7 separate regions of the Mus musculus genome follow, and all the other regions are reported to be linked to region 1. The links are microRNA targets in miRTarBase. Many come from high-throughput screens and were not tested one by one. Region 1 holds a microRNA gene; each other region holds the end of a gene's coding sequence.

What was found. The annotated mature microRNA mmu-miR-24-3p reads UGGCUCAGUUCAGCAGGAACAG and lies in region 1 at 1,926-1,947, shown strand. An mRNA with a match to its seed (bases 2 to 7 or 8) in the 3' UTR can be bound and repressed. Matches are read on the target gene's strand: a 7mer-m8 pairs with bases 2 to 8, a 7mer-A1 pairs with bases 2 to 7 and ends in A, and an 8mer does both.
Region 2: the mRNA of Sp8 is a reported target of mmu-miR-24-3p. Seed matches in the 3' UTR shown: 7mer-A1 at 1,145-1,151.
Region 3: the mRNA of Cds2 is a reported target of mmu-miR-24-3p. The part of its 3' UTR that is shown has no 7-base or 8-base seed match.
Region 4: miRTarBase lists Jph2 as a target of mmu-miR-24-3p. Seed matches in the 3' UTR shown: 7mer-m8 at 1,376-1,382, 7mer-m8 at 1,769-1,775 and 7mer-m8 at 1,863-1,869.
Region 5: the mRNA of Trappc4 is a reported target of mmu-miR-24-3p. Seed matches in the 3' UTR shown: 7mer-m8 at 3,274-3,280.
Region 6: the mRNA of Pak7 is a reported target of mmu-miR-24-3p. Seed matches in the 3' UTR shown: 7mer-A1 at 1,309-1,315.
Region 7: the mRNA of Ldha is a reported target of mmu-miR-24-3p. The part of its 3' UTR that is shown has no 7-base or 8-base seed match.

Annotation. Positions count from the first base shown.
Region 1 is chr13:63,299,326-63,303,391 of GRCm38, forward strand. Mir24-1 (microRNA 24-1) reads left to right here and starts at 1,883; the gene lies at 1,883-1,950. It overlaps Aopep (aminopeptidase O), which reads left to right. Exons shown (of 16, transcript NM_001289926.1): 16 at 1-3,552. It overlaps Mir23b (microRNA 23b), which reads left to right and starts at 1,159; the gene lies at 1,159-1,232. It overlaps Mir27b (microRNA 27b), which reads left to right and starts at 1,387; the gene lies at 1,387-1,459. It also overlaps Mir3074-1 and a transcript of Fancc not described here.
Region 2 is chr12:118,849,540-118,853,605 of GRCm38, reverse strand. It overlaps Sp8 (trans-acting transcription factor 8), which reads right to left. Exons shown (of 2, transcript NM_001379379.1): 2 at 1,028-4,066. The coding sequence ends at 3,734. Among named protein-coding and RNA genes, the nearest start is that of Sp8, 4.3 kb to the right of the region's middle.
Region 3 is chr2:132,304,495-132,308,560 of GRCm38, forward strand. It overlaps Cds2 (CDP-diacylglycerol synthase (phosphatidate cytidylyltransferase) 2), which reads left to right. Exons shown (of 13, transcript NM_138651.7): 12 at 359-462; 13 at 659-4,066. The coding sequence ends at 791. Among named protein-coding and RNA genes, the nearest start is that of Gm46766, 43 kb to the left of the region's middle.
Region 4 is chr2:163,335,017-163,339,082 of GRCm38, reverse strand. It overlaps Jph2 (junctophilin 2), which reads left to right. Exons shown (of 6, transcript NM_021566.2): 5 at 384-478; 6 at 1,159-2,841. The coding sequence ends at 464. Among named protein-coding and RNA genes, the nearest start is that of Gm35750, 19 kb to the left of the region's middle.
Region 5 is chr9:44,400,622-44,404,683 of GRCm38, forward strand. It overlaps Trappc4 (trafficking protein particle complex 4), which reads right to left. Exons shown (of 5, transcript NM_021789.2): 4 at 3,713-3,839; 5 at 3,138-3,477. The coding sequence ends at 3,399. It overlaps Slc37a4 (solute carrier family 37 (glucose-6-phosphate transporter), member 4), which reads left to right. Exons shown (of 8, transcript NM_008063.3): 4 at 1-26; 5 at 226-311; 6 at 800-913; 7 at 1,452-1,590; 8 at 1,681-2,345. The coding sequence ends at 1,847. Among named protein-coding and RNA genes, the nearest start is that of Mir7085, 2.2 kb to the left of the region's middle.
Region 6 is chr2:136,079,695-136,083,760 of GRCm38, reverse strand. Pak7 (p21 (RAC1) activated kinase 7) reads left to right here. Exons shown (of 10, transcript NM_172858.2): 10 at 385-2,673. The coding sequence ends at 540. Among named protein-coding and RNA genes, the nearest start is that of Lamp5, 24 kb to the right of the region's middle.
Region 7 is chr7:46,854,466-46,858,525 of GRCm38, forward strand. It overlaps Ldha (lactate dehydrogenase A), which reads left to right. Exons shown (of 8, transcript NM_010699.2): 8 at 512-1,162. The coding sequence ends at 676. Gm39011 (a long non-coding RNA gene) reads right to left here. Exons shown (of 3, transcript XR_882073.3): 3 at 1,162-1,300. Among named protein-coding and RNA genes, the nearest start is that of Gm39011, 4.7 kb to the right of the region's middle.

The DNA of each region.
Region 1 (4,066 bases):
CTCCCAGAGTCCTTGGCTGTGGTGTAACTTGCCTCCTCTGTAGCCAGCTTGTGGACCAGTAATGCAGTTCAGCCACAGGGCGTGGAGTTCTGAGACAGGTGTGGGCTAGTGCGTCTCTTTCATAGTCGCCAGTCATCATCTCTACATCATCCCAGGACATTATCGCTTGCCATGGTGGTACATATGATGTTTACTTTTGTATATGTTTGAAATTTTACATCAATCACTGTGTTACTCTGTTGTTCTCTATGATTACCAATTAATGAATATTTAGAATTGTGTTGCTAATCTTAACCCATTGTCAGACATTAAATTTACATTTTCACATTTCACTTTTATAAAACCCACTTCTGTGTAATGTTTATTTTTCTGAAGAACTACACTGATGAAGGGAAAACATGTTACTATGTATGACCATGTTGTTGCAGAAGAGCTGGGGACCGCCACAGTCAAGCAGGGGAGATAGTGGGCTGGAGTAAGCAGGTACAGCCTGCTAAGCCTGCACACTACAAGCTAGGACGGTGGCCTGTGTGGATAGACAGAGTCGGTCGGGGCGCCTCTTCACTGCCTCCTGCAGACATTTCTCTAGAAACTTGTAAGCTGAGGGATTGTTGGTATGTGGTGTGTGAAGGTCACACAGTAAAGCCACTGTTCCCTTTTTAGGTCCCTAGGCCTTCACTTAGGAAAGCCATAGTCACATAGTGGTCCTAGTGACTCTTCTAAGAGTATTTTTGCCCCCTGAGTGAGCAAATCCTCAACTTGCTAGGTCCCCTATGAGCTCTGTGCTATGCCTCAGCTTATCCAACCAAATGCTTGGTCACAGGCAAGCCAGAGAGATGCTCCCTCCCTACACACCACACCTGCTGTCTGAGGGGCCCAGAGACATCCCAACCCATTCAGTCTGCAATTGGAGAACAGGGTGTGTCCCAGGGTTAAAGGCCACATACTCAGAGCAAGGATGGTCCCTAAGGTATTGGTCTCATAGCTGATAAGTGTGTCCTTTGTCTCCCAGTCCCCTATGCTCCTCTATACAGTGCAGCCAGCGCGCTGAAGGACAGCAGGCTGCACTGCTAGCGTGGTGGGCTCAGAGGCGGTTTGGAGGACACTCAGCACATGTGGATGGGAGTGGTTGGGCATGGTGCTGCCCTCACCTGCTCTGGCTGCTTGGGTTCCTGGCATGCTGATTTGTGACTTGAGATTAAAATCACATTGCCAGGGATTACCACGCAACCATGACCTTGGCTGCTCCTGCAGAACCGTGGCTACTTTCTCTCTGCAGTTTGGAGAACAGAGGCGCCTTGTGGCTCTTTGGAAACAAAAGAAGCCAACAGCCTTCGAAGATGCTCACCAGCCCTTTAATTATGGCCGGCGATGACCTCTCTAACAAGGTGCAGAGCTTAGCTGATTGGTGAACAGTGATTGGTTTCCGCTTTGTTCACAGTGGCTAAGTTCTGCACCTGAAGAGAAGGTGAGATGGGGACAGTTAACTTGCAGCTGCCAGGCAGAGGCCACTGCCTGGTGGTCACTCCAGAGGAGGAGAGACCAGCCTGCCTCAAGGCTGTGTTGTCAAGAGTGCAAACAGCGTGCTGACCACCCTTAAGTGTGTCTACAGAAAATACAGTTCTACTGCTAATTAGTTCACTGTAATGTCAAGTGTATTGGGAGTCACAGAAAACTAAACCCAGGTGCATCAAGGAAACTGAGCCAACCTTGTCTCAGCTGATGCCACACGTGATGGGTGGGGGTGTGGTTCTTTGTCCCTGCTGGGCGTGGTGAACTCTTTCTTGTATTTGCAGTCCAGGTCTCCATGTCTCCACAGTCGCTGGCAAGATGATGCCCAGGGCACGCCAGGAGGCACTGCCCAGCTGTGATTGGACCCGCCCTCCGGTGCCTACTGAGCTGATATCAGTTCTCATTTCACACACTGGCTCAGTTCAGCAGGAACAGGAGTCGAGCCCTTGAGCAAAAAGCCTACCCATCTGTAAGTGCCTGAGGCAGGCCTCCCACGGAGAAGAAGATGAAGGGCCTGAGTGTCTGGTACCAGACCCAACAGCAGTGGTATCCCTCTGTATGTGCTCCCGAGGTGGGGATTTGTAGAGTGCAGAGCTAACCTTGGAAAGTTTGCATTCCCTAGAAGCAGGTAGGGCAGGCGCTGAGCATTTGCCACGTGTTGGGGCAGAGCACACCATGTCACCGCTGCCTTGAGCAGTGAGAATGCCTGTCTGAAGGGCCTTGTCTGTAGAGCCTTTCTGAACCTCTCTGGGCTTCACAGCCCTGCATGGCCTGTGCCGTGACTGTGCACCCCAGACCCAGGATTGTGAGGTGTGGCTTCAGTGTTGCCCCTGTCCTCCCATGAAAAGTTCCCTCTCAAGTGGAGGTCAGAGGCTGGGAGGACTCCTGTTGGAATGGCTGTGGTGACTGGGTAATAAATTTTATTGCTGTTTCCTCCACAGGACAGATCACAGTGAGATTCTCATATACCTTCTCCTAGCCCTGGTGGGGCCAGGACTGCACTGACCCTGGACATCAAAGGGAGGATTATGTGGCTGCTAAGGCCATCAGCCCACAGCAGTGGTTGGTCCATCTTGGGCTTCCAGAGACTGGGCTCCCGTGGCATATATAAAAGGCGGAGCCTCATAAACTGTTGCACCTGGCAGCTGCCTTTGTTCCCAGTCCTAGAGAGACTGAGTCTACACACTGGAATTGAGCTGTGACTTTAAGGCAGTCATTCAATGAAGGACACCCTCCCCTAGGCAGATGGAGAGCCGGTTGCCTGCTTCCTGTGATTGCAAAAACTAGCTGCCATGCTCTGAGACTGCAGAATCATGTGACACCTCCTGTGGCTGGTCCCCAAGGATTCTGCAAAGCCCTTTTGATGTGTTCAGTCAACAGAGCATTCCTGTTTTTGAAAATGCAGGAAAGCCTAAAATGTCTTAATAAAGTACCAGATTTGCTAGTGTTCCAGTTTGCTTCTGAATTTGATGCTCCTTAAAAGCAAAGAAGAACGTGTGTCAGAACAGGCACTTTCCACACACTTCCTACCTCCAGGTAATGTTAATTCTAAAAAGGTTGGAAGTAAAGGGAAATTAGTGTGGCTTGGGACTCTGCTCTCTTCCAAATGTGGAGTTTCAGCCAGCCTGGTACTAGCGGAGTCTCAGAACAAGCTCTAAGCTCTTTCAGTCACTGTCTAGAGAACGGTGCTTGAGACTGAGCCATCAGTGCAGTCACATGAGCCCAGCCAAGGCAGAGCGGTGGACAGAGGAACCAGAAGGAGCATCCCACTGGCTGGCCAGGCTTCTGCACCCAGACCTGCTGGGTGACAAAGGCTCTAGGACAGACTGAGAGGAGCGTCCGCACAGAACCATTGGTTTTCAGAGCCTGGGCTGTAGCAGTGACTGCATTTGGATGGTTGCAGGGGACTTGCAAATGGTTATCTGCTTTGTATACCACAATGGTACAAGTATCAAAGTGTGTTAATTCTACTTAATGTTACCCTGATTTCTGTGAAGACTTGAAATAAATGGCTGAGTCTATGCCTTCCTGCTCTCAGAAGCACTCTGGCCTTGCTTAGAGGTGGACTAAGAACCACACACCCTGTAAGGCCCCTCTGAGAACCTCAGTGGCCCATACCTCCTCTGAACTGGAGAGAGCAGCCAAGCACTGGTTTAGTCTGGTTTTGTTCTTTGTTCTTAGGAACCACTAAAGCAAAACAAAGCTGTCGCCTAAGGTGGGTTTTGTTCAGGGATCAAGTCCCTTGTCCCCATGGGTCACTGAGCCCTGTGCCTGGCTGTGTCTGGCTTGGGTTCTTGCCAATGGGTTTCAGGTAAGTGGAGATCTCACTGGAACCAGATGCCCATTTCACAGCTTTGGTGAAGGATCTGTGGTAGAGCTGTCCTTTGCCACCTCTGGCTGGGTGCAGAGCAAGCCTATCCTCCCCTCTCCTCTAGTCCCCCACCCCAACAAGTTAGGCAGCAGCTCCTGCCACCCATAGCTGCACCAGAGGCCCATGAGGCTGTGGAAGCAGGCTTCCCTCATCTGGCTGAGACCTCTGGAGTCAAGAAAGTGC
Region 2 (4,066 bases), not on the chromosome of region 1:
TAGCACCAACCCTTGGGGAGGGGGTGGGGGGTGGGCGCAGTGCCTTCCCAGTCTCCGGAGGATGGGCTGATACATGCAGGCCTGACCTCTGGGTCAACAGCTAGTTTGACTCTACCTTGATCTGCAAGCCCGGAAGCTTGTCCTTTGGTTCAAAGTGACAGCTACTCCAGCTTCATGGGAGTGAATTTCTAGCCATTATCAGACTACACAGAAAAGAATCCCTTTTGTGTGTCATCTTCCTTCCTTCCCAAAGAGACATGATGTTAGTCCCCAAAGGGGGATTCTACCCGCTCTGTACTAAACTAAGTTAAAAATACTGCTAACAGAAACAAACAACAAAATACTGCTGGAGCAAAACAAACTAAAGCCAAGCTAGACTGTGAGGGAAGCTAAAGGAAGAAAGTGAAAGTTGGAACACCTACGACACAAAAATAAGCCCTGCTTTCTGCATCTCCCAAAGAAATCATCTTCCAAACAGTATCCCTCCTTGGCACAACCCATCTCTCAAATCAAGTATTCATTCCTATAAATATGCCAAGCAGCTGTCCTCTTACCTGCCTCTACATTAACTGTAGAACTGGCCTCTCGGTATCCCCCAGCTGCTGCAAGTTTCAACAAAAAAGAAACACTTAAACTGTGTTCTGCATTATTCCTAGGGAAAAAAAGTAACAGAAACTGTTTTATTTTTCTTAGTAACCATTTTTTTAGAGCCACAGTATCCCAAAATAGCAAAGGTAACTTGTTTATCTATAACCATAAGGGCTTGAGGCCCCCATATGTGTATGAGTGAACATCCTGATAAAGGCTACTACTTGGGAACCAACTGTATTACATAACATATTGAACTATAAATCTCTGAATGCTTTTGCCCAGGCTTTATATAGTATTTATAACCCCTCTTATTTTTCATGTTTCTATGCATTATGATATTTTACATAAGTTTCAATGCAAAATTTTCAATTCAAGATGGATACCAAGACTGAACTGAGTGAGAACCATGCAAACAGAAAGAAAGAAGCTAAACTTATTAGAATCTCAACACACTAACTTTTTATTAAGTTTGATTCAAAATAATATTAATCTAATAGTGAAATAGTTTGATATAACATCAATCAACATTTAAAGTATACTATGTTTCAAAGTATGGCTCAAGGAACACCCATTGCTTAAATGCACTTAGACATAACAAGACAATGTTTTTTTATTGGCATCATTGACACCTTTGAACAATAGCCTCGTAGATAGATTAAGGTTTAACCTTTCTTTTCTTTGGTGGCTGTTTAGAGACTTTTAAAGAACAGATAACTCATTTCAACAGGAATCTACTGATATTTACCTCTGCAGAATGTTTAGCTAAGACATAGAGTGCCAGAAAACAAGCTTTTGTTAGCTTGACCCCCTCTGTCTCCTAACAGAAGGTATCCCCAAATGATGCTTTTATTTTAGATGTATTGATCTTTCATCTAAGTCTTGGCCTTTCAAACACTAAACTCGATCAAAGGCCAACAACCTGACTCCTTCTGAAGACTGAGAAGGAAGCAGCAACATGGAATTTCTTTGAATTGTTTGTGAATTACTACAAGTTTTAAGAGGTCAATAAATCCTGGTGCTGAGCTAAATCTAATGGTAAATAATTAATTACATATCTTAGACACTATAATCTTTATCTTGGTAAACAAAGAAACAGCTTTGCCAAATAGATCTTCCATCTACATAATATCTTAAAGGCAAATAATTAAATATTGCCACAAAAAACAGGGTCATATTTTGTTTAAATTAGACATTAAAACGGAAGATAAAATGCAAATGCCCGTAGTTTTAAAAGGGGGGGAAAAACACCAAATTAACTGACCTAGTCTTTTTTGAGTTTATTAATACCATTTAAAATATTACAAATAAATCAATTACATTTCATGCATTTAAAATGCAAGTCTAATGTTCCAGAGAAAGGCTTTTCATTTCAATGTGAAATATCCAAATTATTTCAACATGACAATGAATAGTTAGTTTGCAGACTCTGCAAACAACACTTAAATGTAGTGTCAGGAGTATTTGTCAACAGTTAACAATATCACCTTCAGGAAATACACAAAGGCCAAAGTTAGTCGAGTATCACTTGGACAATTTATTTAATACATGGGTTTGGCAGACCCCGTTATTATGAAGTATAGGAGAACTCTCACTTTAACTATACCTGAACTGCCAGCAAATGCAAATAAGTACATGCGCCATTAAATTAAATGTCATCCAACATTTATCAAATAGTGTCTTAGTTACAGCTTGATACCTATCTAAATTCATATTCGAGCAAAACTAGGCCCGGAAAGTGCGTGTGTGGCTCTGCACCTCCAGAATTGAGTTCAAGGAAAAAAGAAAAAGGAAAAAAAAAAAAAAAAAAAAAACACCTGCAGCTCATTAGAACCTCAGCAATAACTCTTAATAATTCCTTCTGACGAAAAAGAAAAAAAATCAAGTTTACTTCAATATATTTTCAAATATTTACCGGAAGTAATGTACAAGAAAAATACTATACAAAATCGTCTCACACCTCACAGCGGCGGAGTCAAGTTTAATGGGAAACTAATCTAGAACGATTTTCCAGTTGTACAAACCATTAGGTTCAGATATATTTTACAAAGAATTTTTAAAAATTGTTTCCCCGTTTCCCTCTTTTGGCATTTAAACTACAGCCTCATCTGAAATAAACGATAGCTTCTTCACTTAAGTTTAAATCACAAAGAAAAAGTTTAACCCTAAAATTAATCAATGACTTGCAATAATTTACAGAAATCAGTAGATAAATTGATTCCTAGACTAACCCAAAAGTGGTGGTGATGTGGGAAGTTGGAAGAATATGCTTGGGGATGGTGAAAAAACCGAGGTAGAAAAAGACAAACACGAAGATACTTAATCTGGTCTCACCGGAAAGGGGGTATTTTTGCATAAGAAAAGACACCTACCCTCACTCCCGCCCCCACCCCATAAATTACGGCGACCAAAATAACTTTGGGATCAATATTTGCAGTTTGGAGAGAAACGTGCTCGCAAGCAGAGGAAAACTATCTAAACGAGAAGCTAAGAGGAAGATTGCTTGTTTATTTTTTTCCTCTCAGTTTTTCAGTTAAAAAATAAAAAGTTACAAAGAAGAAAGGAGGGGGAGGCATTGATTCCCGTTCGCAGAACTCTCATCGGTTCACCCGCAGGGCACAAAGACCTAGCCAGAGCTGAATGGGGAGATCTAAACTCTGCTAACCCGGTCTGGGTTGCAGCAGTCCTCCCACGAGTGTAATGCTCAGCACAGGACAGTCCAAGGGGAGCACTCGGGGGTCCAGGAGGGGATTCCTTGGCAGGACTCCTACATCCCTCTCCCTACAGCTGCGGCTCAAGCGGGTTGAACACTGTTCTTTCCAAGGCCACAAAAGCCACTGTTCTACCAGACAACCCATTCATCCCGTCCTAACCCCAGAGGCCACAGCCTCTTCAAAGTTCCGCCAGCCCAGTGCTGGAGGAGCGGGTTTCCACTGCGCCCCGCATGGCTGTCACTGTGCAGAAGGGAGCCAAGGATTCAGCCACCGATGTGTGCTACTTACTGTCCACATCCTAAAAGTTAAGAGCAGAAAACCGGTGAGAGAGAGAATGAGAAGTTGGGGGAAAGAACGCACAGCTAGCCTAGACTGGAGCCCAGTCTAGGTACACAAGCCCGACGGGATTCAGGTGGGAGGCATCGCGACAGTCACTCCAGGCCGTTGCGGTGGCCCGGCTCTGGAGGCTGCAACAGCTCAGGGGAGTGGCAAGGAGGGCTTCCCGCCGCGCTGTGCTCGCTGTCGGTGTCGCTGCCTTTCTTGCCGCCGCCGGAGCCCGCCGAGCCGCCGCCACCACTGTGTGTCTTCACGTGCTTGCTCAGGTGGTCGCTGCGCATGAAGCGTTTGTTGCACACCGGGCAGGCGAAGCGCTTCTCGCCCGTGTGGGTCCGCAGGTGCCGCTGCAGCTCGTCGGAGCGCGTAAAGCGCTTACCGCAGAACAGCCAATTGCACACGAACGGCCGCTCGCCGGTGTGCCAACGCAG
Region 3 (4,066 bases), not on the chromosome of region 1:
CCACCTGCCTCTCCCATTTCACTCCTGGTCGCCCATCTCTTCCCCGCCCTGCTCCATCAGCTTGCACCCCTCATACCAGGTCACGCCCCTGCACTTACTGTGTGCTTTTCTTTACCCATGTGCTGAATTTGGGGGACAGTAAATGAAAGTGCAAGTATCTGGTTTGCTAGTGCTTCTTTCAACCAGAGACCGCGTTGTAATTTGCAGTCCTGTCCTGTGATCACCTGGGCATTTGGTTGTATGCCTCTGTCCATCACCTTCTCTGCCCAGCAGGGTTTTGGTCATGGGTGGATCCATTAGTCTGGAGTTTGGTTGTTGGTGAGCCCAGGCCCATCCTTCCTTCCTTTTCCTCTAACAGGATTTTGCCAATACCATTCCCGGTCATGGAGGCATCATGGATCGCTTTGACTGCCAGTACCTGATGGCCACCTTTGTCAATGTGTACATCGCCAGCTTTATCAGGTGCGGAACTACTCCACCGGATCCAGATATTCCACCGGATCCAGCTGAGTGGGCTTTGAAAGCATGAGTGTTTACAAATCCTCTGAGGTCTCTCTCCCTCCACTAATAGTGAATCCAGGGCTCATAGCACCCCATGGGTAACTGGGCCAGCGAGGCAGCTGGCCCCTGCTCAGGGGTGCCTTATGTTCTGTTGTAGGGGTCCAAACCCAAGCAAACTGATCCAGCAGTTTCTGACGTTGCGGCCAGATCAGCAGCTTCACATCTTCAACACGCTCAAGTCTCACCTAACTGACAAGGGGATTCTGACATCTGCCTTGGAAGATGAGTAGAGTCCACCTGGGGCCCAGAGAGCTGGAGCAGGATGGAGTGGGGGCCAGTCGCCAAGGCCGCCCAGCTGCTGTGACTTAGATAATGAAAAGCTTCAACTCACCACCGTCATTTTTTTTTCTTTTTCCTTTTTGTGCGTGTGTGGTTTTTAATCTGTATATACTGTCTGTTTATAGTGTGGGCAGTGAGTAAGCTGTAGCTTTGAGTTGCAAAGAAGTCACAGGAAAGAACCATTTGGGTTTCTGAAGTACAAGTATTGAGCAACATGAAGGGCAGTGTTGCCCAGCTCAGGGTGTCTGCTTGGTGGCTCTAACCCCTGCCCATCCAGTTGTTTCTGGGCTGTGCGAGAGATCATACATTGATCTGTGTGTGATGAGTTGAGGGCTTTCCCACCTGCACGGGCCTTCACGGGCTCCACGCTTTTGCTGTCCTTGACACCTCTCGTTGGGGCTTCTGCAGGCATCTCTGTCTGAGAGCAGTGGGGGCTGCCCTCTGTAGAGCTGTGAGAGCAGTGGGGGCTGCCCTCTGTAGAGCTGTGAGAGCAGTGGGGGGCTGCCCTCTGTAGAGCTGTGAGAGCAGTGGGGGGCTGCCCTCTGTAGAGCTGTGAGAGCAGTGGGGGCTGCCCTCTGTAGAGCTGTGAGAGCAGTGGGGGCTGCCCTCTGTAGAGCTGTGAGAGCAGTGGGGGCTGCCCTCTGTAGAGCTGTGAGGGAGAGGCTTTCTGATCAGATGAACATCTGTCCAAGCCAAAATTCTGCAGAGGGCAGGTGAGCTTTGCTTATGTAGTTTGCTTTCACCATATAGACTGAGAGAAGATTTCAGACTTCTTTTTCTCAGAAAGCATGAAGAATTTATGAAGTATGGAAAAGAAGCCCTTACATATTCCAGATGTGTGCAGCAGGGGGCACTGTCCCAGCCCTCTCTGCCCCAGCCAGGCACAGTGGCCTCTAGAGGGTGGTCCTGTAGACCGCACCTTTTAGAGTCGAGGCCTCTGTGGTTGTGCCGCGGGTTTGCTGCTGTGCTGAGTCCTTCTGGGGGAGCCCTAAGAGGTGGGGAGCAGAGGACTTTTGCTCAGACACCCTTTGCCTGGAAGCCCACTTGTGTTGCTGCTGTGTTGTGTATATAGTATTCTCGAGATGAGCGTATGTGTGTCTGTTTAAAAGTCACCTTGTTTCCTACATGATTTTAGTCATACCCAAACGTCCTCAGAATCCCTACATCCTGCTTAGAACTGTGGCCGGCCTAATCTGTCAAGAGGCTTGGCTCTTCAAGACTCAGTGTCCACTTTATCAAATGTGACCGGTGTAGCTGTAGTTTGTACTTTCCTGGGGACCTTCTGCTGGGGTTTGTGTAAGCTGTGATTCTTTCCCTTCCTAATAGGTTGAGCTTGACATGGAAAGGAGCAGTTGGCAGGGAAGGAACTTATTCCCCAAGAGTGGTAACTAACCCACAGCCCTGCTCGGTGTGCCCACCGCTGAGAGGCTGCAGTGACTTCCCCAAGTACCGTGGTCTGTGCTAATTTGTTTTCAGATTAGTCTTCCTGTGGCCTCCAACACTCAGCCAGCCCTCAGAGTGTCCGCTGTGCGCACGGGGGCGGGGCGGGGCGGGCAGCTCCTTGTCTCTCAGCTTTGACTGACTTGTCCGCATTGGGGATTTTTGTTCTCAGCTCCCAGGCCGCACTGAACACAGTGTTGCTGCCTTCAGTTTGGTTCTGGCCATGAGGCCCCTAGTGGGAGCTTTGCCCTTAGGGCTGTCCTCTGACTTGCCCTCAAAGTTCACCAATTCGGCAACTCCATGGAGACGGTCGTGTCACTCTCAGCCCCTGTTGCTATTAAGTCATGTCATGGGCACCCGGAAAAGGAAATACACTGAGGTGTATTTTACAATTGCTCCTTAAGATTCTCAGTGGAGATTAGGAGCAACACTGCACTTCTGATAGAAAAATGGCCTTGGATCACTAAACTAGGTAGAGAAGGGCACACCACACCCCAGCGCCCCAGGAGCCAAAACTCACGCTCGGGCAGCAGCAGCTGAGGCTTGAGGAAGCTGGTGTCCTAAGACACTGAAACCCAGTGCTCATTGGAGCTGCCAGCCACAGGTTTCTATTCTGAGTTCTCCAGTCTTGTGAAAGAGGAGAATTTCCCAGTCAGGTAGCCAGGAGAACAGTGCCACCCTGCGATTGTGCCACCCTGTGATTGTATAGCGTGTTGTTTGTTCCAGTAAGCAGGCAGGCCCAGAGACTGCTTTCTCAGCACCGCACAGATCTCAGTGGGTCACATAACTTGCTTTACACTCATCTTGTTGTGTCAGAAATAAAGTGTTCGTGCTTTTCCTTGTCAGGAGTCCCGTGTTTGTCACTTGTTGTGTGGTTTTATGTTTCCCGCTGTGTGAGCATAAACACTGTGCAGTTTTCCTGCTTGCCAGCCTGTGTGCCATCTGTTCTCACAGCCTCTGAGATGTCTCAGGTGAGAGCCATGGGGTGGAACCATAAAGTCCCCATCTCAAAGTGTGCCTGTGGGACAGGGTTAGTAGCTACTCCCCGAGGCCCCAACCCGGGAAATACTGCAGTGTTCCTTCCTGCAGGCCTTGGAGCCCTGACCAGGCCAGTCCTGGGCACTGCTTAGATGGCTGTTAGCTTAGAACTGGTGAAGTAAAGATTTGGTCCCAGAAACCAGCCTGACATGAGAACAAGCCAGGGTGTCTTCCTGGTGAGTTCTACTCATGGTCGTTCTCAGGAAAACTGTGTTCCCTTTGTGTGTACGTTTCTCACCCCTTAACCACTTCAGTGTCAAAAAAGTTCCCATTGTGTCTTCTGAAAGTGAAGTCCCATAAGGAAGTTGGGAGAGAATGTGCAGGGTGCACACACGCATGTACAAACACACACACACACACACACACACACACACACACACACACACAGAGCCTATTTCACATTCTCAGACTTTTAGTTTCTGCTTTATAACCGCATTTAAAATGTATTCTTAATGTGCTGTAGTGTGTGTGAGCCGGTGTCCAGAGGTGTGAAATATACCATGTAATCTCACACAGGTGGACTGTGGAACCGTTTTTATGGATTTTGCCCCTGCTTGCTTTCATCCTGTAACCTAGCCTGTATTATACAAGAAAACTTGAGCAGGACATTTCAAGAGAATATGTTGGCCTAATTGTTGGGTTGGCTGGGACCTGCTCTGAAGGGATCCCTCAGTTCACCGATTGGCAAGCCAAGGTCAGTCCTTGCTGTTGATGGAGCTGGGAGGAGGAGGGACCTAAGGACTCAGGA
Region 4 (4,066 bases), not on the chromosome of region 1:
AATCTGTGGCATAGGCTAGCTCACCAGCCACCTCAGGAGGTTCAGGAGGTTTGGGGGCTGGGGTGGGATAGAGTGGAGGAAGATTCCAACAGAGCTTGAGCCCCCAGCCTCTAATGGGGTCCAGGAACCAAACTCAGCAGCAAAGAGCAAAAGCTAGCTTTTAAAGTGAATGATGCAGTTCCAGATGGAAGATTGGGTTAATTAGTTTCAAGAATTCTTTCTGCTCTCCTGGGTGCAGGGTCCAACTGTGGACAAACCAGGGATGTTTTTAGGAAGAAACTTCCATAAGCCCTGGCTTCTTTGCCCAGCTTTGTAATCTTGTTGGGGGTCTGGGGTTGTCTAGAGGTCGTGGGGACTCAGGCGGACTTTCTCCATGCCTTCAGGTACCCAACACCGTCCTCATCTGTATGGTGATCTTGCTGAACATCGGCCTGGCTATCCTATTTGTTCACCTCCTGACTTGACCCTCATCTACCAGGTATGGCCAGAGGATGCAGCCTGGAAACCAGGGTGGTGGGGCTTGGTACTTGGTACTGGGCTGCTAGGTAAAGCCCACCCCCTAGTGTACAGGTGTGATACTCCTTGCATCCCAAATACTCAACCCCATCTCTCCCAGTTGAACCGCCACCACCTTCAGTTTCCTGTCCCTCCACATGCCCTTAGTTGGCTCTGTTTCCTTTCTAGGGTAGAATTTGGGCTCAGGCTAAAGGACAGTAGCCCTCGCTGGTGTGAGGATGTTCCTGCTGCTGGGACAAACCTTACAACTTGAGTCTGGAGCTTGGCCACACTGCATCTTGCCTCCTGAGGAGGTTCCTCAAGAGACCTCCTGCTTTGATCCTGGCTTAGTGTGGCATAGCAGTTTCTAGGCAGGCCCAGGAGTGGGGAAGTCCTTGTTCTGTCTCTGGCAGCGTTAGCCTCACAGGGTCTGATGCTGAGTTCTGGGGGTTCTTCAAGTTACTGGGCACCTGAGGGGCTTTTCTTCAGGCACTTAGGACTTTGAGGGTCCAAAGAATCCAAGTGCCCAAGAAGACAGCAGGGAAGGGACAGGATGGGAGGGCCAGCAGGGAACAGGAGGGAGGCAGAGCAGGGGCTTGAGCCCTGCCCTTCTTGTGGCTCAGCCTTGGACGTCTTCTGATGACTGGTGTTGTCTCCATCCAGTGCCAGGAGTTCCACTGAGGATGGCAGGACCTGTCTTTCTGCAGTGCCAAGCAGGTGTCCCAGGAAGATGGGACTTCGGACCTAAAACCTTGCTCACATCCACTCCATGGACATTTAAGGAGGCCTCCAGAGAGCCCATGCTGGGTGCCGGAGTGCCAGAGGAAGAGAATGTACCCCCGAGGTACAAAGGATGCCCTGAGGGAATAGCCCTGGTCCCCTGAGCCCCGTTTGCTCCTGCACCTGTTCTCAGCCCTGTCCCACCTCACCCTGCCACCCTTCCCTGGGCTTTTGTGTGTTTTGAGAGATATCAGGAAAGCAAGATATTAATACAGATCTCTCCCTCTTCCCCCTACCCCGCCCCCAATCTAGTCCTCCGGCTGATGGCTTGAGGCCACCCAGGAGGATGAGAGGTTCACAAGTCCCTTGGGTAGTGCAGTCAACCCCAGCCCATGCTGTTCAGGGTTCTTAGAGTTCTGGAGGGCAGCATAGGAAACAAAGAAGCCCAGCTGAATATACCAGCATGCAATGTTCCGCATCCTCCAACTAGTCCAGTTGGTATCCCCTAGGACCAGTGGGGGAGGGGTGCGGGGGGGGAGGGGAACCTGAGCATCTGAGCCTTTGGCTGAGAAGCCACCTACAGGGGTCTGGGGTGGGGTGCTAAGAAGGCGAGGCATGTTGGTGATGGCCCCTGATTTTGAGTGTGTCTGAGCCTGAGGCTGGAGTTCATTTAGGGTCATGGATGTTCCCTGGGCATTGTGTAGGAGCTCTGGGCCCGAGAGCTACAGCTACTGTGATATCCTAAGAATTGACTCATCCCTGTCCCCCATCGAAGCCATGGTGGGATCGGGGGAGCATGGCACGGAAGTCTGAGGAAGTCAAGAGCTGAATCCCTGGTGCATACTCTCTGGCAGAGGCTGGAGACACGCGTTATGCAGGGGAGCAAACCTGGGCTCTAGCTGGGTGCAGCCCATGCAGCAATGATTCGTGCTTGGCAGAAGGTTTACCCGCATGCACCTCACTTAAAGAAGTTTGCACCACACTGCGTGTCTGGGCCCTCGGGCTTGCTGGGTGTAGCATGGCAGCCCAGGACTAGTGGGTCCCCATTCCCAGGAGGATGGAAGAAAAGAGTTTCCAGGCCCCTCCAAGTTTAGGAAAGAGGAGGTGATGGCATCCAAGCTGAGCTGGAGGAAGCTGCTGATCCTCTTTGACTTCACGTCTCTGGACCTCTCGGGCTTGGGCATGGAAGCCAGGCACCCTCCCAGGGGAGCCTTGAACTGGATATTGGGGTTCAGCTTCCTTTTCTTCTAAATCCATGGGCACCCTCTCCTCTAGAGTCACACTGGCTGCTCTCAGCACTGCCGGGGCTTGGTGGCTTGGTTGGAATCGCTTTTTTTACTGAGAGGAGCCTGCGGATGTTCCTGTACCTGCCGGTGTAGGCAGGACTTTGCCTCTGGTTGGGTTTTCCTGGATTCCAGGGAATGAGGGGGTGGGCGGAGGTTCCTCGGGAGTGACAGGCCCTAGGCCTTGGTTCTGAGGTCATTGCTCTACTCTGGGTGCAGTCCAGCCCCGAGGACGAGCCTGTGACTGTCAGAGCTATCAGAGCTGTTTGGGGGTGGGGGGATGGGTTCAGGATGCCAAGTCTGTGCCAAAATAAATCCGCATCTGCTCACAGGTTCAACTGCACTGTGGTGTCTGCTTGTGGATCCCGGATGAGGGATGAGGGCAGCTGGGCGAAGGACACGAGGAGAGGCTGGGAGATGGCCAGTCCTACCACTTCACATTCTCTTTCAAAAGATGCTCCAGGACCATGCACACATCTCTCGTAGTCTTTTTCCAAAAGCTGCTCTGTTCAGCCTACGTCAGCAGCTAAGAGTCTGCTCCTTGAGGCTCTCTGGACTCCAGTCCTGGCTTAGACCCTTTATGTCTGGAGCCTCCATTTATAGTGCCCCATCTATAAAATGGGGGCCACCTGCCTGCCTCCTGGGGTTACCATTAGGGTTACACTAAGGACTGGAAGGGCCTGGAGGGTTGGCTCCGTGGGTAAGGTGCTATACAAGCATGAAGACCTGAGTCTGGAGCAACGGAATCTACACAAAAGTGGAACGTGGTGATGTGCACCTGTAACGCCATCTCCTGGGGTTGCTGGCCAGTTAGCTTAGCGGAAACGGTATATTCCACGTTGAATGAGGGACTCTGTCTCAAAAAATGGGATGGAGAGGCAACTGAGGTAGACATCTTGATGCCAACCCCTGGCATCTGTGTGACCCACAAGGTAAATGCACTGCACACACACACACACACACACACACACACACACACACACCACACCCAGCTACAGAAAGCTGCTGAGAAATATTTATCTCCTGGCTCGCTTGCACAGTGTTATGTATGATAATGCCCTCTTGCATTTTGATGTAGAGACTCCAGGAGCCCCGAAGGCATAGAGATGGCTTAAGCATCCACTAAGCAGCTGCAGGCTGTCTGATTGGAAGCACTAAGGCCTCCTCAGAGACCTGGGGTGGGGGGTGGGGACGAGGCAGGCTTACCCTGGATTGCCCACAGCAGGTTCTTTGAGGAAGACGGCTCTCTAGCTTGGATGGGAACAAGCAATGTCCATTAAGGTTCCCTCACAGCTAGTAGCCAGGAAGACCTCAAGAGGACCGAGCCTGTCACCACCCGAGCTGCACCATATGCTATCAAGTGTCCTGGCTGCCGGGCACTGCTGCTGACTGGCTGTGTACACCCGTGGGTGCCTTCAGTTCTCTTTGTTTCCTTCACCATGGAGAATAGCTCCTCACAGGAGAGCTGCTTTGAACCACATATGTATTCTGGATGGAGAAGAGGACGTGGAAACTCTATACCCTCATGATTCCCAGGAGGAGGGTTGGCTGCAGGGCACCTCAGGAGG
Region 5 (4,062 bases), not on the chromosome of region 1:
GGAGCGAGGGCAGTCCGCCCTTGTGGGTAAGATGAGTGTTTAGACAGAGAAGGGTGTACAAACCAGGGGCCAATGCAGGAGATGGGATCTCCACCCTCTCTCCCTTTCTCTACTTCCCCCTTAAGGCTGGGCATCCTTGGAGGTAGGTCTGTACCTTGGGATAACCTCAATGGGAAATCCCTGTTCACTCTTTTCCCTTCCTCCTCCCCACAACTCCCCATGCAGGTAGCTCCTACATCAGTGCCCTCGAGGTCGGAGGCCTTGTAGGAAGCATTGCAGCTGGTTACCTGTCAGACAGGGCCATGGCGAAGGTGAGTGGGCAGGAGGAACTGCGAAGAGAGGCCCTTTGAGGCTTCCTCGCATGGCTGGGCCAGCCAGTGGAGATGGGAGTCCTGGCAAATGAGCTGGTTAGCAGAGGGTAGACGTTGGGTGAGATGGGAGTGTTTCCAGGTTTCTCTTGACCTGCCTTGGTGAGCTTCTCTTTCCCACTGAAGGAGACCCAGAATCTCTCTCCCTAGTTAGTAGGCTTCTCTGCCTCAAGAAAACTAGGGGTGGCAGTGGACTAGGTACAGCTCCCTAGCACGTGTCCCATGCCTGCCCCAAGGTGGAGGAAGGGATGTTGTGGAATTTGGCCTCAGAACACGGAGCAGCTCCCAGGGCCTCCCAGAGCTGTCTGGGTCCAAGAACTGTGACAGATTGCCAAAGACCTGTCAGCAATAGCCCTGCTGTGTCAGAGTCCAGGGGTGGGAGTGTTTTGCCCTGCTTGGAGGGCCTGATATGGCTGTTATTGTATCCATAGGCAGGGCTGTCTCTGTATGGGAACCCTCGTCACGGCCTATTGCTACTCATGATGGCTGGGATGGCAGCATCCATGTTCCTCTTCCGAGTAACGGTGACCAGTGACTCACCCAAGGTAAATAGAGAGCCTGGCTGGCTGAAAGGTACAAGGAGAGGAAGTAAGACATCCTCCTCTGGGCCCGCTCCTTCTCCCTTTGCTTCTGTTTATACCTTATTCTCCCTCTTTGGTACTTTGTGTCTCGCCTCCACTCTGGGCCTGGTTTTCTTCTCTTTCCTCTGCTCTCTAGGATGCTTTCTGGACTCCTGCTCTCCATCCTCTGGCTGAGCTCACAGGCTTTACGGAGCATGAGGTGCCTTAAAGATATCTCTGGTTTTCCTCCTGGTCTGTCGTACTTTTGTTTCACCCTTATCTTGCCCTTAATTAGCCCAGCTTGCACAAAGTCTGAAACAGCCAGCATCCAACTCTGAGGGGTGACTCTATCTCCCCTGTCCTTGTCCACCTAGACCTTTGGGGTTGGCTCATTCACTGTGGGGTGAGAATGGTTCCCGACTATGCCTTGTCTAGTTTGTTCCTGACGGCTAGGCTCTCTTTCTTCAATAGGCACCTATGGACACTCTATAGTTCTCAATGCCCCCTCTCGCTCTTCTTGCAGATCTGGATCCTGGTTTTAGGAGCCGTGTTTGGTTTCTCTTCTTATGGTCCCATTGCCTTGTTTGGAGTCATAGCCAATGAGAGTGCACCTCCCAACTTGTGTGGAACCTCTCATGCTATTGTGGGACTTATGGCCAATGGTAAGTCCTTCACTGCTTTGCTCGGGCCTATTAGAGGCAGAATGCCTCCCAGCTTAACCCTCACATGTGGCTCACTTCTTCTCCCCGCAGTGGGTGGATTTCTGGCTGGCTTACCCTTCAGCACCATTGCCAAGCACTATAGCTGGAGCACAGCCTTCTGGGTGGCAGAAGTGGTTTGTGGAGCCAGCACAGTTGTCTTCTTCTTGCTTCGAAATATCCGCACCAAGATGGGCCGAGTATCCAAGAAGGGAGAGTGAATCGAGTCCTCGCTATGGAGCATCCCCAACTGCAGCCTTACTGGCAGGACACGGAAAGGAGAGCGGCTGCTCTGGCTAACACAGAACCTTTACGTTTCTGTGTCTCCACTGTCTCTCTGAACCTCCATGGTGCTGCAAGTTACCAGTGGCTAATGAGGTCCCGACTCCCATCCCATGCTCTATTTAAAATGATGATGTTTGGTTCTAGACTCCATCAGCTTCTGTTTCTACCTTCTGGCAGACAGGCAACTCCTGAATTCAGAGTGTCTCCTATACCCTTCTTCTTCTCCTAGGTCCTGATCTCCTAGTGAGTATTAATGGCCTGTGGTTTCTGCTGTACCCCAAGGCTTCTTGGCAGGGGGCAAAATTGTTGCCAATACCTCAGTCCCTAAGGGAGGAGAGGAGTCCACCACTCTCATGAATACCCTGGGACAAAAGGGAAGAATATAGAGGGCAAACCGACTTGTATAGATCAATAAAGCTAGATTTGATACTAAACAGTCAGTGGCTCATCCTTTCAAAGGGAGACATAAACTAGACAAAGCTTTTCTTGGGAAAGTGTTCTTACCAGTATCTGTTTTTTCCACCCCCAAAAGGAAAGACTTTTTTTCTCTGGAGTGAAACAGCAGAGGTAATAGATGGACTTTTTTTTTTTTTTTTGGTTTCTCGAGACAGGGTTTCTCTGTGTAGCCCTGGCTGTCCTGGAACTCACTTTGTAGACCAGATTGGCCTCAAACTCAGAAATCCACCTGCCTCTGCCTCCCGAGTGCTGGGATTAAAGGCGTGCGCCACCACGCCCAGCAGATGGACCCTTTTAAGTACAAGCTCGGCATGCAGCTAATGCTGTACACTTACACTAGGTTGCAGGTAGGTTAAATAGGTTTAAGGAAGGGGGCTCTGAAAGCATGGGTCCACACTTAGGCCATTTGTAACTGGCTTGAGAGCTCTGAAACACAGGTATTTTATAATGTGCTAAATTCTGTAAGAGATTAGAACAGAACATACACCGCAGGGTCAGAGATCATACTGAGATAAAATTTAGCTTGATTTCAAGTGCAAGTAAGTAAGTGTCCCATCATCCACCACGGCCACCTCAGGCCCCAGAGAACCAGCAGCTCTGGGGCCGGGCCGCCTCTAAGGCTCAAGAGTCGCTATCCTGCTAGTTTGTCTAATGAACATCGTTTGTCTTGTTTTCTAGAAGATAGTACTTTATATTCACTGAATGCCCTTAGCAATTCTGCCTTCCCCTCCCCTGCCCTTCTCCCAAATGATCAGTTAGGAGAGAAAACACTAAAACAAAGGAATGTTTATTTCAGCATTGCTAAGCCAGTTTCCTCCATAAATAAATCTATACAGAGTAGGACTGTAATATATACAGAGGGGCAGAGAACACAGCATTCGAGCCCAGGATCTGTCACCATCACCAGGCTCAGTGGTCTACCATTTTCAAGTATATTAGCAAGGCTGCTACAACAGGACCCTCACCGAGTAGACACAGCAAAGCCCTCTGGAGCACGTCTCAGAATTTAGGGCGTCCATTCCAGGTTCATCCTATGACCCAGGTCCAAAAGTGCCAGCCTTCTCTGCCACCTCTAGAGCTAGCTTCAGGTTTTGATCAAACAGCTCGCATCTAGGTCAGACCCAGAAGACAAGAAACTGTGAGGGATGAGACTTCCACCACAAGGGTAGAGGCAGAATCGGTAGGAATGACTTGAAGAACGTGAAGCCTACGGAAACCCTGTGTCCTCAAGACAAACAGAGCTGGTCACTGCTGTCTTTCCCTAAAAGCAGTGCTTGGTCACACTTTAAATGACTTGGGAGCTAGCACAAAGCTTTGGCAGAATCTGGTGAATGGGGCTACCTACCTGATAGGCATTTCCAAGGAGTAGAATGGATTCTTGAGGGCAAAGTCTGAGTAAATTTCATAAATTTTTCGGAGAAGAGAATCTATTCCAGCTTGCCTAGGGTCTGCCAGGACCACAAACTTGATCCCTGGAGAAAAGTCAGGAACAGTTACTCAAGGACAGAGAATGCATCAAAAACCATCCTGTATTTTTGCAGCCCCTTCAGTTTTATAAACTACTATCATAAGCCCATTTTTACTTTGTCCTTATTGCCACATAAAGCAGCGAACAAAGGAGGCTAGAGATGGGGTGACTTCACTCTCCCTGGGTGACAGAGTGACCAGATTCAAGATCAGCTGCCATTTTCAGAC
Region 6 (4,066 bases), not on the chromosome of region 1:
TCCGTGTCAACCAACCTGAGAGAAATTTGTTTCTCTCTATGAAGAAAGCAGAGGTGGCACCTCTAAGCACTATTTCATAGTCTTGGTTGACTCTATCACATGTACAACCAATACTGATATAATCCCAACACAACAATTGCTGTCATTCCTTACCATCATTATTTTATTTAATAAATAGTTCCTCTATCCTTTACCCTTATTATTTCAAACTTTGAAAGCAATTACAGTGATGATGTATGTTTTTTCTTCCATATCTTTCTCCTTCATTTCACATATTTGAAGTCATCAATGAAGTCATCAATGATGTTAGTTGGGGCATCATTTCAGGACAGTGGGCCTGGCATTTGTGTTAGTCCTCAGTATGATGTCTGTTTCTTTTCGCAGGTTTCTTCCATGCTCCGAGGATTCCTAGATCTTATGTTGGTGAGGGAGCCCTCTCAAAGAGCCACAGCTCAAGAACTCCTTGGACATCCATTCTTAAAATTGGCAGGTCCACCATCTTGCATTGTTCCTCTCATGAGACAATACAGACATCACTGAGAGGATTCACACAGGATGCAAAGCTAGGCAAAGACATGAGAATGATTCAGGAGAACATGAGGAAACCCACAGAACATGCAAAGACCTGTGCTTTCTAAACCAGCTGATTGGTGGAACAGTGTGATGACCTGACCGGCAGGGTTCGACAGACCAGGGCATCTTCTAGTGTCTTAAATAATAGGCATCTCTCCACTGACAGCTGGCATGGTCATTTGGAGCATGGCTTTAATTAATAAGTCATTATTATACATTTTCAGCCCTTCCAGTAAATCAGAAGGACTCAGTACAAACTCCGTTACGATATATCCTAGCCACATGCAGGGTACCACATAGGATTTTCTATATTGAAAGAATACTTTTCTGGCAAAATAAAAAAAAAAAAGATAAAGAAAGGAAGAAAAGAAAATAAAAAGCACTTTTTTTCTTAATGGTAGCAGTGTAATGTATTTTGCAATGAATTTGTAACTTTTCTGTACGATAGTTTTGATAATTTATAGTACTTTGATGTCACGTAGCCATTGTCTCGGTTGAAGTAACACTTGTTTACTAGCAGGAGTTTGAACAAAGCCTTTCCTACTTTTTTATCCCTTTCAGAGAACCAACGATTCTTTAGGAACTTTGAATACTAAATGACCCTCAGTCACCGTCAGCTTTAGCAGAATATCTTTCTTATCTTAACAAGTGTCTTATGTAGTGGAAGAAGAGTTAGGAGGGATGGTGATGGTGCGGACACTTCGCTTACCCAGCCAAATATAACAAAATAAAATTTGAGCCACAGAATCGCCAAACGATTCCTTGAGATAATGCTAAGTATTTTGAAAAATTACATTTCCTTCAAGGATTCTGGGAACACCCCATTGGTTTTTTTTGTAGAGCAAGATATTTCCCTTGATGCCCACCTTCAAATAGGCATGGCATCCTCAGTGGCCAAATTTCCCTCCCAGGGAGTAATTTTAGCGCTGGGATCTTTGGACTCAGATCTCCAGGTAGAATGTTTCAGTGAGACCATGGAAATACCAGGCTCACAAAGGGAGAATGAACAAGGCAAGTTGTTTGGTTTTGTCCGTCACTGTTTCTAAGACTTTGTATGCTAGCACACCAAACTCTTGTCTGTATTTACCTTCATGCCACAGTATTTATCACTGTTATTCATGTATTGTGCGGAAAGTCTGAACGGATGATAGAGGATGAATTAGCAAGGGGGTACTTTACCAAGTATGGTCTAACTTCAGTGGTGACCATGTTATAATGTGTTTCTGACATAAGGAGAGTTGTGCTGCTGTCTCGATCTTCCTGAATGTTGATAAAAATGAATGACTACTACAATACATTTTGTGTTGCTTGTTGGATGAATTTGCATGTTAACTGTAGGCCAGTATAGATTTGCCTTTAAAACTCTGGAAGCGCTACATAGTCATCATTAGTTTCTATTAATTATGCATCAGACAAAAGCCATTTGTTACCAAACTGGAAAACCAGAGGCTTTATTTAATGACTTTGCATACTGTAACAAATATGAAAATATATTTGTGAAGATACTCTGGTTGCTCTAAGCATAATTAAGAATTTTTTGTAATTAATAGGTTGATAATTATTTATTTTAATTTAAAAGGAAAAAAGGCATAAAATGACCTTCTGCTGATTAGCTGTTCAATTTTTCCCCAAACTGGAAATGCTCTACAATAAATAGAATCTATAACTTTGTTTTATAAAACACAGAAGATCAATGTTTTATGAAAACTGTTAAGATCTTAATACAAATATGTGAGAGTAACGGCAATCTCAATTCCCAAAATGGTAGTCCTAAAATGTCACAAAAAAGTGTCATAATTCAACCAGGACTATGTAGGGGAGGAAAGAGAGTAAACCAGAATCATTTTAAACCAGAATCAACATTGAAAAATTCATTGCAAACTCTGCAGAAATAACAGATTTTGGACTCAAACAAATTTCGACGGTGTAATGGAAAAAAATTTTTTTTCTGTAATTTTCTTATCATTGGGCATTTTTTTACAGTATTTGGTGAGTTTACTAAATGTTACTGTAGCTTAAAGGAATCTGTGAGCAGTGAGCATTGGCAGAAGCTGCACCACAAATAAAGTAAGTGTTTGCCTTTTTCCCACCGTGCTGTTGGAGAGACTTGTGTTCTGACTTTGTCTTACTGAGTAAATAGGGATGGTGTGTGTATGACCTCAGGGGTGCAAATGAATTGGTTTATGTATGTCATCATGGTGGTCATACGTTCTATAGTTATCATGATGTTTTAAACTGAAGATGAGCATTCCTACCCTCCAAATTACCAATTGTGCAAGAGTGTGATACAGACACTCTACTTAGAAAAGAATATTAAATTCTGAGAAATCAGGCTCAAGGAAAACCAGAAAGAGAACTAAGGACCTCCATTTTATCCCACGGAAGTTGAGCTGATTTGAGGCAATTTCACTAATGAATTTCACTAAAAAGTCTTAGCTAGAGAAGGAGCTCTCATACTCTAGAAGAGAATTCGGTATCTTTATCACTACATTGAGCAGCCCTTGAAGTTGAAGAAAAATGTTTGTGTCAAAGAGCCCACTTCTTGTCTAGAAATTTTAGAAGGTGACCTTCATGAACTGACCTGAGACAGAAAGATGAGAGGGGATAAGTTCATTGTATGTCAAGAAAGAGAAAGATGGCAGCAACCTTCCACTGGCAAGCCCTCAGACTTTGTTGTAAACGAAAGAGGCATTATGTTTTCTTGGCTGTGTCTGGCAGAACATGGAGAAGAATTAAGGAACATGTTAAACTACTTTTAAAATGTAATGAAGAACAGGGAGATGACCAACTAGAAAGGATACTTGCCACCAGAACTGGCGACCTAAGTGACATTCCTGGAACCAAATGATACAAAGAGGCAACTGACTCTGGTAATTTGTCCTCTACCTCCACATGCATGCCATGGTGTCATGGTGCATGACACCATGGTGCATGTGTGTATGTGTGTATGCGCGTGCACATACACATACACACACACACACACACACACACACACACACACACACACGTAAGAGATTTTTTTAAAGTAGTAAGATGTGTAGCCACAATGTGCATTGGAGGGAACTTTAGGGAGAGATGTCTTCTTTTCTGCAGGAAAAGAGGTCAGAGTGACACTGAAATTGTAAACAAGTGTATCATCTATATAGCATCTCTTGTAAACAACAGAGGCTGGAGCCTTCAGGCAGAACCAAAATGCGTTTTGGTAATCTTTCCCCCTTTCCTTCAAAAGCATCTCATATTAGATATATAAGCAGAAGGTTGTCTACTTACAAGTCCCCATAGATTTGGCCATGCCACAGTCTGAGACCCCATAATGTGGGGGAGATGTAGGAGAAAGAGGGACTAGAATATCATATTGTATACCCTACCATGCCTCCTGCTGCTCTCTCTTTTTCTTGTACAAAGTCATCCAGTTCAAAGGGAGATGTGTTGGTTTTGAATTGATGTGAAATTGACTCTTTGAAAGCCTTAGTAGGTAAATGGAATCGGACAT
Region 7 (4,060 bases), not on the chromosome of region 1:
TGACCTTGAACTTGTGAGGTAGTTGAGGATAGCCCTGAACTCTCTCCTGCCTCTAGCTGGGGTTTCAGGCACGTGCCAAACCTAGCTCTTGCTTTCTTACTGACTTTCTATTTCAGTGCTTTTTTTTTGGTTTATTTTGGTTTTTTCGAGACAGGTTTCTCTGTATAGCCCTGGCTGTCCTGGAACTCACTCTGTAGACCAGACTTGCCTCAAACTCAGAAATCTGCCTGCCTCTGCCTCCCAGGTGCTGGGATTAAAGGCGTGGGCCACCACTGCCAGACTTCACTGTTCATTATTATCATACCTGGACAACTCTGCAATAGAATAGCATTGACACTCAACTTGTTTTATAAGCCAAGCCGTGGTAAAACTTTGAATCCCAGACCTCGGGTGATAGAGGCAGGTAGATCTATCTAAAAGAAGAAGTCTTTATACTTGTAAAGGTCTAAATCCCAAGGAATATTAGGAGGTATGGACAAAATAGATGTAATCTCTGTCATTCTGTGTCCAGGGTCTCTATGGAATCAATGAGGATGTCTTCCTCAGTGTCCCATGTATCCTGGGACAAAATGGAATCTCGGATGTTGTGAAGGTGACACTGACTCCTGAGGAAGAGGCCCGCCTGAAGAAGAGCGCAGACACCCTCTGGGGAATCCAGAAGGAGCTGCAGTTCTAAAGTCTTCCCCGTGTCCTAGCACTTCACTGTCCAGGCTGCAGCAGGGCTTCTAGGCAGACCACACCCTTCTCGTCTGAGCTGTGGTTAGTACAGTGGTGTTGAGATGGTGTGGGGAAACATCTCACTCCCCACAGCTCTGCCCTGCTGCCAAGTGGTACTTGTGTAGTGGTGACCTGGTTAGTGTGACAGTCCCACTGTCTCTGAGACACACTGCCAACTGCAGGCTTCGATTACCCCTGTGAGCCTGCTGCATTGCTGCCCTGCACCAAACATGCCTAGGCCGACGAGTTCCCAGTTAAGTCGTATAACCTGGCTCCAGTGTGTACGTCCATGATGCATATCTTGTGCATAAATGTTGTACAGGATATTTTATATATTATATGTGTCTGTAGTGTGCATTGCAATATTATGTGAGATGTAAGATCTGCATATGGATGATGGAACCAACCACCCAAGTGTCATGCCAAATAAAACCTTGAACAGTGATGGCTCTGCTCTTTTATTAAGATGAAGTTGGGTAGCTGGTCAGTTTGATTTCAGGGTCAGAGGCATGTGGATGGATCTCCTGCCTTTCAGCGAGCCTGGTTACCTAGTTCCAGGACAGCTGGAGCTATGTAGTGACACCTGTATCAAGATTAAAAAAGAAAGTTAAGTTGGTGGCGTGGGGACTGGAGAGATTTAGAGCACTGACTCCTCTCCCAGAGGTCCAATTCCTAGCAATCATCTGGTGGCTGACCTATGCCGTCCGATGCCCTCTTCTGGCTGAAGACAACTACAGTGTACTCAAGAAGCTGATTGAGCTGAAAGACTGAGTTGCTAAGACACAGGGTCCCCAGGACACTCCTCTCAGCACTGGGGAGGTAGAGACCTAGATAGAGCTTGTTGGCTCCTTAGAATTGGTACTCAGGAAATCCAGATCTGACAAGGGCACACTATGACCACATGCAGTTCTTGGAATTGCAGCTCAGGTTTTGTCCATTATGGTGGGAAGCATGCAGGTTCTGAAGGCAGCTGGAAGAACTAACGGGGCCTTGGGTATTGAAACCCCGCCCCCCCCCCCCACACACACACAAAACTTCCTCCAACAAGGTCACCCCTACTGCCACTCCCTAAGAATTCAAGTATGATTCAGGGGGCCATTTTTATTCAAACCACAGTGAGAAACCTTGTCCAGCCTGATAATGGAAATAGACTAACCAAAAAATACCTAGTTACACCATTAGTGTAAATTCATACCAAATAGCTGCTCATTCAATAATACCTAGAGAGACTGGAAAGTCAGCTCAGGATTATGGTCACCTGCTGCTCTTGCAGAAGACCTGGGTTCAATCCCCAGCACCTACGGCGCCATTCATACCTGTATCCCAGAAGATGGACCTACATACAGGTAAAACACCCATACACATTCCCCCCGGCCCCCACAAAATAAACAGTACCTTAAAAAAAAATCTTCTCTTGTCCCAGAACTTATTTCTGAAAAACTCAAATTTTATTACTATTTATTTCAGCTTTATGTTTATGCATACGTGAATGTATAGGGGCTGGCGAGATGGCCCAGCGGTTAAGAGCACTGGCTGCTCTTCCAGAGGTCCTGAGTTCAAATCCCAGCAACCACATGGTGGCTCACAACCATCCGTAATGAGATGACACCCTCTTCTGGTGCGTCTGAAGACAGCTATAGTGTACTTATGTATAATAATAAATAAATCTTTGGACCAGAGCAAGCAGGGACTGAGCAAGTGGAGTTGACTGGAGAGAGCGGAGCCAACCAGAGCCAGAGGTCCTAAAATTCAATTGCCAACCACATGACGGCTCACAACCATCTGTACAGCTACAGTGTACTCAGATACATACAATAAATCTTTTTTTTTTTTAATTTTTTTAAAGATTTATTTATTTATTATATGTAAGTACACTGTAGCTGTCTTCAGACACACCAGAAGAGGGAGTCAGATCTCATTAGGGATGGTTGTGAGCCACCATGTGGTTGCTGGGATTTGAACTCAGGACCTATGGAAGAGCAGTCAGGTGCTCTTACCTGCTGAGCCATCTCGCCAGCCCACAATACATCTTTAAAGTATTTATATATATATAAAACGTTTCACCTGAGATGTCTTCCTAATCGTTTAGTTGGGCAGTGGTGGCCCATGCCTTTAATCCCAGCACTTGGGAGGCAGAGGCAGGTGGATTTCTGAGTTCGAGGCCAGCCTGGTCTACAAAGTGAGTTCCAGGACAGCCAGGGCTACACAGAGAAACCCTGTCTTGAAAAACCAAACCAAATCTTACCAGTTGACCATTAGCAGGCGAACTCCATTACAAAGCAGGCTGACTTCTAAACCGGGCCCCGTGAGAAGGCTCAGCAGGTAAAGGTGTTTACACCCTGATCTGCGTCCAATCCCCAAAGCCCACACAGTTAAAGGAGAACTGATTCCTGCAAGTTGTCCAAACACAAACTTGAGAGCCCTTAGCGCCTCTGTTCCTTTCTTCAGCTGTCCTTAAGGTACTTTGTAACCAACCTAGGCATCCCCGCTACTTTGAGGTCAACTTGACACAAGCTAGTCATTTGTGAAGAGGAACTCAAGAAACCACTTGGATATTTGCCTGGAAGCAAGTCTATAGTGCATCTCCTTCCTATGTAATTGATGTGGGTGGTGTCGACGACGCTGGGTAGGTAGTTCTGGATTGTAAAAGAAACCAGGCTGAGCAAGCCATAGGGAGCAAAGGCCTTTGATTCAGTTCTTTTTGGTTTTTTGTTTGTTTGTTTGTTTGTTTGTTTTTTGTTTTGTTTTGTTTTTGTTTTTCGAGACAGGGTTTCTCTGGGTAGCCCTGGCTGTCCTGGCACTCACTCTGTAGACCAGGCTGGCCTCTTTGATTCAGTTCTTGTGTCTAGGCTTCTGCCTTAAGTTCCAACTATAACTTCCTCCCCAAGCTGTTTTTGCTCATGGTGTTTATCACAGCAGTAGAGAGCTAAGACACCTGCCGTGGTGAAAATTGTACTGGAGAGGGGTTTGTGCAACAAACCAGGGCTACATGGAAAGACCCTGAAATAATCTATTAAAAAACAAAAAACAAAACAAAAAAAGCCCCACAAAACCAATAATGACAACAACAACAAAAAAAAAAGAAGAAGAAGAAAGAAAGAAAGAAAGAAAGAAAGAAAGGAAGAAAGGAAGGAAGGAAGAAGGAAAGAAAGAAAAAGGAAGAAAGAAAGGAAGGAAGGAAGAAGGAAAGAAAGAAAAAGGAAGAAGAAAAAAGAAAAAAAAAGATAGAAAAAAGAAAAGACCTCTTAGCCTGTTCCCTGGTATGATGTAATTGTAAAACTTTATAAACCCTACTCTGCCCAACTTGTGGGCTGAGAGTTCTCTGTGGCAGAGCCTGCTCTCA